Linked DNA regions of Macaca fascicularis. The main gene of each other region encodes a partner of the protein of the gene in region 2 in a complex. Links are inferred from orthologs where the notes say so. Each region holds a gene or a part of one and is shown on either strand. Other genes may lie near its edges. The genes, in order: EDA and EDAR.

What was found.
Region 1: the proteins of EDAR (region 2) and EDA are in contact, whole or in part, in a crystal structure (PDB 7X9G), measured with the Homo sapiens proteins. The link is inferred for Macaca fascicularis from reciprocal best matches to the Homo sapiens genes EDAR and EDA. Residues at the interface, in NP_071731.1 of Homo sapiens: Glu55, Pro56, Tyr57, Leu58, Lys78, Ile86, Arg88, Arg89, His90, Asp92, Glu94, Gly95, Phe97, Val134; in NP_001390.1 of Homo sapiens: Gln256, Ser258, Ala259, Gln261, Asp265, Asp273, Arg289, Tyr310, Tyr311, Lys340, Thr341, Tyr343, Ser370.

What each region holds. Positions count from the first base shown.
Region 1 is NC_088395.1:76,351,059-76,355,396, reverse strand, and holds the start of EDA (ectodysplasin-A), read right to left. Parts: upstream 2,965-4,338; 5' UTR 2,771-2,964; coding exon 2,375-2,770; intron 1-2,374. UniProt on the Homo sapiens protein: Cytokine which is involved in epithelial-mesenchymal signaling during morphogenesis of ectodermal organs. Functions as a ligand activating the DEATH-domain containing receptors EDAR and EDA2R. May also play a role in cell adhesion.
Region 2 is NC_088387.1:16,470,675-16,475,229, reverse strand, and holds the start of EDAR (tumor necrosis factor receptor superfamily member EDAR), read left to right. Parts: upstream 1-1,574; 5' UTR 1,575-1,587; coding exon 1,588-1,620; intron 1,621-4,555. UniProt on the Homo sapiens protein: Receptor for EDA isoform A1, but not for EDA isoform A2. Mediates the activation of NF-kappa-B and JNK. May promote caspase-independent cell death.

The DNA.
Region 1 (4,338 bases), on a different chromosome or scaffold from region 2:
CACAATGTAGAATTCTGAGTGTCAGCAGATACTGAAAATTAAATGTCCCTGTAAAGCCAGCAGAGGGTGCACCAGGGCACTAGAAATTTTACCCAAGCTTGTAGCAGTATTAATTTAATACCCAATCAACTTTTTAAAAAACTTATTTTTGTATACTAAAACTAATATACAAGATAAGATACACAAGTTGAATAACTTAAACTTAAGTTGATTTTGGGCTAAAATTCCTTCAAAGTATACTCCAAATCTGAAAGTGAAGTTCAGGAAGAATAAGGAATACATGGTTAAACTTACTGTGGTCAAAATACAGGTAGAGTAGAACAAAATGATGCAGATCTGAGTGCTCTACTTTGCAAAAGTTCTAATATGGAGCTCCATCTTGCTCCCTCGCAAAAGGTCCCAGGAGGTAGTTGAGGGAATGAGCACTGAACTAGGAGTTAAGAGAGCAACTATCATCCCAGTTTTGACTCTAGTTATGTGACCTTGGGCAAGTCACTTTCCCATTAGGGCCTATGTTTCCCAAGGGAATCAAACAAAATGGACTCATATAAGCCCTTCATAACTCTAGGAAACTGATTCCAACTGATGTCAACAAATGTAAAGAGCTAGTATCCTTGCTTCTATTGCTCAAAAATATTAAAACAGAAAGAATAAAGGACAGAAGGTAGGAAGCTGTGTTTAAACCTAGAGAGAACTATTTTAGTGTCACACAAAGGGAGGTAACTAAATGCCATTACACACCTGTAAGAGTTTCATGCCATCACAGAAGCCCTAGAGTACAGCTGTTCTGCTAATCCCCAGTCTATAAAAGCGGCTCTGTCCATCCTGAATGCCAAAAAGTCTTGGCCAACATTTGACTAAAGAAGTTTAATTTTTTCATCTTTTCACAGAATATCAATGTTCAGCTGCTAAATATTTCTACTGGGCATTGGGGTGTGGCGGGAGTGGCAGTAGATAAATAAAAGGAGTCAGAATCCTAGTTAATTATCGTTTAGCTACAATGTTTAAAGTTTCAAGTATGAGAAGCATGTCTGCTGATTCTCTTCTTTGATAAGCTGTTATATAAATTGGAGTGTGCTAGTAAGACATTTTAAGGCTCAAGGCAACTTTACAACGGACATCTTTTTTGTTGTTGTTGTTTTTTGTTTTTTTTTTTTTAAAGTATCAGTCCTAACATTACACTATGATCATGAATGTGATGTCTCTATCAAGTGTACCACTTTAGATGGGAGGTCAAAGTGGCACAAATAATGTTTACAGAGTTGTGACAATGACTCTGGATGTGGAAGTAAATATAGAAGGCTTGGGTCCCTCACCTCAAGGAACTTATTTGTACAACTTGCTCTCTTCCCTAAGAGGTACAATTTTACTATTATTCTTTAGCCACCTCAAAAGGATCCTTGGATGCTTCTCCTAAGTTTCACATATGGCAACGAAGACAATATTTACATTAAGTGAACTAAATTTACTTGAATAAAGAGCTAGAAAGAGTGGAAAACAAACGCCAAAGCTAATAGTTTGCTAATAAGGGCACAAACACCATAAAGGCTGCAAAAACAAACAAAACAAAACTGCTCTTGGGGGACTAGTCCTGAGTAATTATTCCATTGGCAGATTCCTGTTCTCAAGCTAGCAGTAGCAAAAGCGCTTCCCACCCACCCTTCCCACCGCACACCTACCCCGCTTAAGAATCAGAACCGGCATGCAAAGGGTGAGTTTTATTTCCATAGATTTTTTAAATTGCTGTTCAGAAGTTGTCTAGCAAGACGGCATATTTCTACCAGAATTCCTCAGGGGCGCTGATCCTCACTAGAACGCTGAGGACAATCAGTCTCAAATTGCAGGTAAGTGTGAACAAGCCCACGTTCTGGTCAGCGCACAAGGACCCGCGCTGAAAATGCGGTTAAAAGTTGTTTCAACAGGCGGGCGTGGAGCAGTTATTACAGCTGTTTACAGCTCCAACTCCAAAGGGGAGCCTGCTGGTTCTGGCATCAGCTCTAGACACGAAAAAACAAGCACCGCGGGCAGAGAACCTCATCACGAGCAGAAGGGCCAAGCCGTTAGTCGGCCGGGGGGCAGCGCAGGCACCTCCTCGACGGGAGCTTCGCCAACTTTTCTCCAGGCAGCCCGCAGCCAGGGGCCGCGGGCGCGCGCTAGACTTTCCAAGTCAAGGGGTCCCCAGGGAGTCCAGATTGGGCCAGGGACCGAAGACAACCTGCCCTGGACAACCTCTCCCCTGCTCGCCTGGTCCCTCCCTGGTCCTGCCCTCTAAATTGGCTCGAGGTGGCAGAGTGCCCCCAGGCCCCTGTGGCGGAGGGCCCTCGCCCTACCCGCGAGGGGAGGGGGCCGCCGCCGCCCCTACTAGGTGACTCACCTGGTGCCCGTCCTGGGAGTCAGAGGGGAGTGCAGCTTCTCCCGGTTCCAACGGCTGCTGCTGAGGTGACGGCTGCCCAAGGTGAGTGGTGATGGGGCTGTCAGGGTCGAGGCCACCGAGGCTGCTTAGGGTGCCAGAGGTGCCAGGGGTGCCCGAGCCGCCAAGGCGGGACTCGGCTCCCCGTTCCCGCCGCAACTCCGAGCGCAACTCTAGGTAGCAGCACAACGTCAGCAGGTGGAGGGCCAGCGAGAGGCCAAAGAAACCCAGGAAGAGCAGGCAACTGTTCCCTTCTCCCGCCCGGGCAGGGGCCCCGCGACACCCGCAGCCCTGGCTCCCTCGCTCCCGTGGCGCTGCCGCAGGCAGGAGTTCCCTGCGCTCCACCTCCGGGTAGCCCATGGCCTCCGGAGACACCCACTCTCTTGAGGCCCGGGAGCCGCTGCGTCTGCCTCAGCCGTTCACGACCTCTGACAGGCGGCTACTGTCCTGCCATCGGCTGGGGGCTGCAGGGACCCGTTCCTGCGCGACGGTGGCTGGGCGGGACGGAGCAGGGAGCAGCCGCATGTGCAGCTCCACTCCGAGGGGTGGGAAAGGGAGGAGGAGGGGCGGGAGAGAGGGACGGCTCGGCCCGCCGAGGGAATGAAGGAGGAGGTCCCGGCCGACCCCGCCCCATCCCTCAAGCGGCTGCCGGGACGCCCAACCACGGGGCCGCCAAGCCTCGGCGCCCCGCCCCGTGCCGTTCCAACCGGGCGTCCAGCCGCGGGGCGGGGCCTGGGGGCGTGAGGGTTCGCCTCTGTCTGGCCGCCCCACCCAGCTCTTCCCGCTTGCCCCGTCCCAGTTGGTGACTGGCGCCGTCGTTCATCCCTGGGCTCCGCCCCAGTTTAACCCTATATCGCCAGTACGGGGAGGAAAAGAGGGGGAGGCTACGAATTTGGGAACCTTGGAAAGAAAGTAGAGCAAAGAAAAGGAGGCAGAAACTAGCATTAATAGAAATGTTCGCAATTAACTGCAGTTGTTAATAACATCATCCAGTACTTATCTGTTGCTTCCAATCTTCAAAGCGTTTAACAGACGTTAAACTAATTAAAACAGCTCCGGGTTTGGAATGAAACCATGCCTGCTGTGTTTGCAATTCAATGGCTCGCCCGAAGAAAAGGAGACCCAGGAGCCTGGGAACTATGGGAATGGGTGGGACTCAAGCAGCCTCACTCCTGGAGTGACTCTGAAGGCTCAATCTAAGTAACAGAGAAGCCGACCCATGCCAAGCGGAACTGAAATGATGTTGTCCCATGAAGGGTAAAACAGTCTCCTAGGATTTCTTAATTAATTCAACAAATATCTATTGATACAATGCAGAAAATGCTGTATGAGAGCATCCACAGCCAGAATAGATTTCTTCCACTGCAGCAGTTTTGATTGGAGAACATACGCCTTCAGTGAGTAGATAGGGAAACCGAGGGCCAGAATGAAGTGGATTTTTACAAGGGTGGTCCACAGAATGGTCAGACACTACTGGCATCTTTATTTACAGGCAACTGTTCTGGCCTCTCCACCCCTCCCATCCTTCTCCTGGAGTACTCCCTGGGGGAAGTTCAACAAGTCAGCCAAATGTTCCAGATGTATACTGCTGCAACTGCAGCATCTTCAACAGCTGCACCAATCAGAAACGGGTTCAGAGAAAGAAAAAAAAAAAGTGGCAAATGGCAGAACAATAGACCCTGAAATGAAGGATGGAAAGGATTAGTTAAATCAAGAGTCACAATTGACAAGAGTTACTAGTCTGAGATTATAGAAAGTGAAATGACTACAGCAGGGGAAGCATGTACACTTCATAGTCACTACGCACTCTCATTCCATGTTATTAATTGAGTAATGAATAATTAACAATTTCATTGACTTGCAGCGGGCATCTTGAGTGTCATCATGGAGGCTCAGCAATGCCAGGAGCACTTATGTGTAGGCCTAAG
Region 2 (4,555 bases):
GCCGGGTGCAGTGGCTCATGCCTGTAATCCCAGCACTTTGGGAGGCCAAGGCAGGTGGATCAGTTGAGGTCAGGAGTTCAAAACCAGCCTGGCCAACATGGCAAAACTCCGTCTCTACTAAAAATAGAAAAATTAGCTTGGCATGGTGGCGGGTGCCTATAATCCCAGCTACTTGGGAGGCTGGGGCAGGAGAATTGCTTGAACCTGGGGAGCAAAGGTTTCAGTGAGCCAAGATTGCACCACTGCACTCCAGCCTGGGCAACAGAGTGAGACTCCATCTCAAAAAAAAAAACAAAACTACACACACACATTGGCTGGTCTTTGGGACAGACTCCAGTAAAGAGGGTCCTGCTCTGTCTTCCTTTCGCTTCACCATGTTTGTGGAGTTGTTTGTCCTACTCGGCAGTTTAGCCAAGGATAGTGGTCCCCAGGCAGTCAATCTTCCCTCCACTGTGCTCCCTTCCAGGGCTGGCACGTGGCCTCTGCCAGCAGGGAGCCCTGCATGTGGGCTCAGTAGCTTGGGAAGCCCTTCTCCACAGGCAGAGCCAACACAGCTGAAGCTCATTTTCTCAGAAACCCTATAGCCAAACACAGTAGTGCTCCTGAAGTCAGTAGGGTTTCCTTACTATTTGAATGCACTTGGGCACCACAGAACTCTCTGATGACTTCTGTTCAGACAGAAGTTGACCATTTCCTCAGTCTTCAGGTTGAAAGAGCACCGGGTATGGCTGAGACCACAGGCTCTAACCCTGCATAACTGCACTGGGTCCCGTGACATGAGGCATAGGACTTCCTGTGCCCTGTGAGGAGTCACTCCACAGGAGCTCCGCCTGTGACTGGCCTCCAATACCACTGCATTTCTTAAAGCTTTGAAGGGACTTAATGCCAGTCTCTGCATAGTAAATCTAAACCCTTCACCCAAAGTTCATGTGTTAATTGCTAAGGTCATCTGACTTTAAAATATTGATAACAGAAATAACAAAGACGGAACTTGAGTAGGCAGCAACATGCTAGGCAGATAGGTCTTTGCATTCTTGAAATTTGATACATAAGATGGCAGAGGAGATAAAAGACCAGGAGGAGAGGCTTGCTTCAAAGTTGGTCTTATCAAAACACCTTGATATGTTAATGACTTTCTTTACAGAAGTTCAAGGCTATAAACTGCTTTAGATCCAAGGATATGGTGATGCTGAATGTTTTAATTGTGGTATTAACAGCCCCAGTTGTAAAAGGGAAGGTGTCACTCAGAGATGAGGGACAAGGCCCAAATTTTATAACTGAATTTAATTGGCACTGATTTGAGGTTGATAGTACCTGGTTTTTCCAGTTTTCAGGAAATACATCTTTGCCTGGGGGGGAGAGGGGGGAGCACAGAAGGGAAAGGTGGAGGGAGAGTACATGATGCAGGAGGGGAGGGGAGGGTGCTGCACATCAAAAGGCCCATCTTGAATTTCCTGTGATGTGCTAAAACCCCAGCCCCCCACCACCACATCAATGCACAGAGCAGTCACACCTCTCCTACATCAAACCCCAATTACTACACACCTAGGGAAGGTGCCCAGCTCTCCCACTGCAGCAGTCACCCAAATGAGAAGGAAGGAGGCACACAGACACCCAAAGGTAAGAGGAAAAGACCCAAAGCCAGTAGAGCCAAAGAGGAGAAAATCCTGATGGGGTGAAAACCTTCTAAGGATCTTCCTGTCTGTAATGTCTTTCTCTCCCCAAAAGACCTGCATCTGGGAACAACTGGGTCATTTATTATCTTTTTTTTTTGAGACAAAATCTCGCTCTGTCTCCCAGGCTGGGGTGCAGTGGCGTGATCTCGGCCTCCCAGGTTCATGCCATTCTCCTGCCTCGGCCTCCCAAGTAGCTGGGACTACAGGCGCCCGCCACCATGCCCGGCTCATTTTGCTTTTGTATTTTTAGTAGAGGCAGGGTTTCACCATGTTAGCCAGGATGGTCTCGATCTCCTGACCTCGTGATCCGCCTGCCTCTGCCTCCCAAAGTGCTGGGATCACAGGCGTGAGTCACCATGCCTGGCCCATTTATTATCATTAAAAGATGTAATCATGACACTCCGGACACTCAAAAAAAAAAAAAAAAAACCACTACCCTTCACACACACACACACACACATGCACACACACACACGTGCTTCACGCACACACATACTTTTCTGAGTGGGTGGCATAATTAAAACATGTTCGGGGGAATATTAAAATAAGTTTTTAGAATGTTCACGTAAAAGGCAGGTTGTGCTTTTGAAGAGAGTCTTAGATCATTAAAAAAATGTTAAATGTTAAGCTGAACTTTATATGATTTAATTAGAATTAATGAATCGTTCCTTATTCCAGACGTGCTGTTGTTAAGTATGTTTTGTCATGCTACACGGTTTGTGGAATTATTTCCAAACATTTGGGGTCTGTGGCTCTCTGGAAGGTCTTCTGATTAGGAACCTCAGCTCTCTGGGTAGAAGCAAGCCAACGGCTGCTGCCTGCTGTCACTTAGTGAGCGCCGAGTGTGGTGTAAGGGAGAGTGTGGATTCCAGCCCTGGGAAGCTCTCCTGTGGACACGCCTCCAGGACTTTTTCTTTCTGGAATTGGAGTGCTATTTGCTGCTCCATTTGCTCAGAGAAAGCTAGTTCTTTCAACAGCAGTCCCTTTGTTGTTAAAAGATTATCCTCATTTCACTCACTGGTGACTGTGGTTTGGTTGGGTTTTTGGATTTTGTTGAGGTTTTTTTTCCCCCCAAAGTACCTGATTTCCTCTTAGAGTAGGGACTTTTATTTCTCATATTTTGGGGTTCCTCTTCAGTCTAGGGAAGGATGGACAGCTCCATGACCTGATCCCTTTTCGTCACAGTTCCCTGTTAGTGGGACTGCTTTTGAGTCGTGGCATCATGTGGCAGAGACTGAGATTTGAACTGGAGTCCAGATGACCTGGCAGGGGCTTCTGGCTGTAGCACAGCTCACCGGTGGGACCTCAGAAAAGTCCTGGATCTCTCAGAGTCTCAGTTTCCCCAGGAGTAAATAAAAAACGTGCCCCATCTATATAAGCCTGGATGTTTTAAATTAGAACATTTCAGGGGGTGGGAGGGATCTGAAAGACTATCTTCTGTGCTGCCCAGTGGGGTAGGCACAGCCATATGTGTCTGTTTAAATTTAAATTAAGTAGAATTCATTAACATGAGAAACTCAGTGCTTCAGGGACGCTGGCCACAGTTCAGGCTCGGCAGCCACAGCGGCCATAGTCCTGGACAGTGCCAGGCTCGGCTGCCTCAGCTGATGGTTGAGGAAAACAGTCCAAGAAGTGAGTCCGGGATTGGCCCGTGCTCCAGCCAGAGCTGATCCTACTGGCTCCTCGGTCTGTGGTCATCTGCTTCTGAGTGTGTGGGTGTCTCTCCAGCTAGCTCACACTTTCCTCCCTCTGCCTCATCTTCCCAAGAGAAGGAAGAGTCTACAGATGGAAGGGCCCCTCTTTGCAGGTTGCAGGCCCCAGGCCAGGCAGTCCTGTGATACCCACAGCCTGGGAATTGCCCAGAATTGGCCGCAACATTCTGCAGAGCTCCCAGGTTCATTCTTCTGTTGAGAGGGCTGCTGGCTTTTGCAGATCATGGAGCTTTATCAAACGGAGTCTCTAAAACCCCTCTTGTAATTGTCTTCTATCTTGACTATATTGCTGTCCACACCTGACTGTGCAGGTGCTATCATCCTGTAATTTTACAAGATGAAACCGTTGGGGTACACTGGGTAATGGGGGACATGGGATCTCCCTGTATTATCTGTATTATCTCTGTATTATCACGAACAAGTGCACGTGAATCCACTTTCAAATAGAAAGCTTAATTTCTTTTAAATGTCCTTGTGCAATTTTTATAATTCGAATCTCTTAAATTTTAGAACGTCGGCTTTGGGCATCCTAGAAACAGATTTCGAAGGACCCTTGAAAGCAAACTGAATTCTTTTCCCATAGTTGCTGTGAACAATTTAACAGTGTGTGGTGCGTGATGATTTTTGCTTACGTAGCCCTTTTACATTGGCCACAGAATTTCAGATAAGAATACATCATGTAAAACTTCAGATGTATTTTCCCAAAACTGGAATATGTCTTTGTTGTACGACTCGTGCACACACTCAAACGGTTGAAGTTAGGGGTCTACAGCGGTTTGTGGCCTCTGCAGGGCTGGACAGGGGACTTACAAGTGACAATGAGTGAACTTCACTGACACAGAGCCACCGGACTTTGTTCAGTTCGATTGATCGCTGGCACAGATGTTCCTGACAAGGGTAAGACAAGTGCACAGTCAGCTTCCCTGTCCTTGGCATCTCTGTAGCTATCTCTCCTTATCTTGGAACAACACTGGGATTGTCTGCAGATCTCTTGTTTGTAGATCGTTGACAAAACCATTGAAGAGTGAGGATCTTTGGATTTCTGCTTTTAATTCAGCATCATTCTGTTGAGTCTCTTGGACAGAACAGTACTGCGGTTGATCTTGAAAAGAGTGTGTGTGCGATGGTGTCATGCCAGCAAGAGGTGGCCTTTGCATGGAAGGCCCT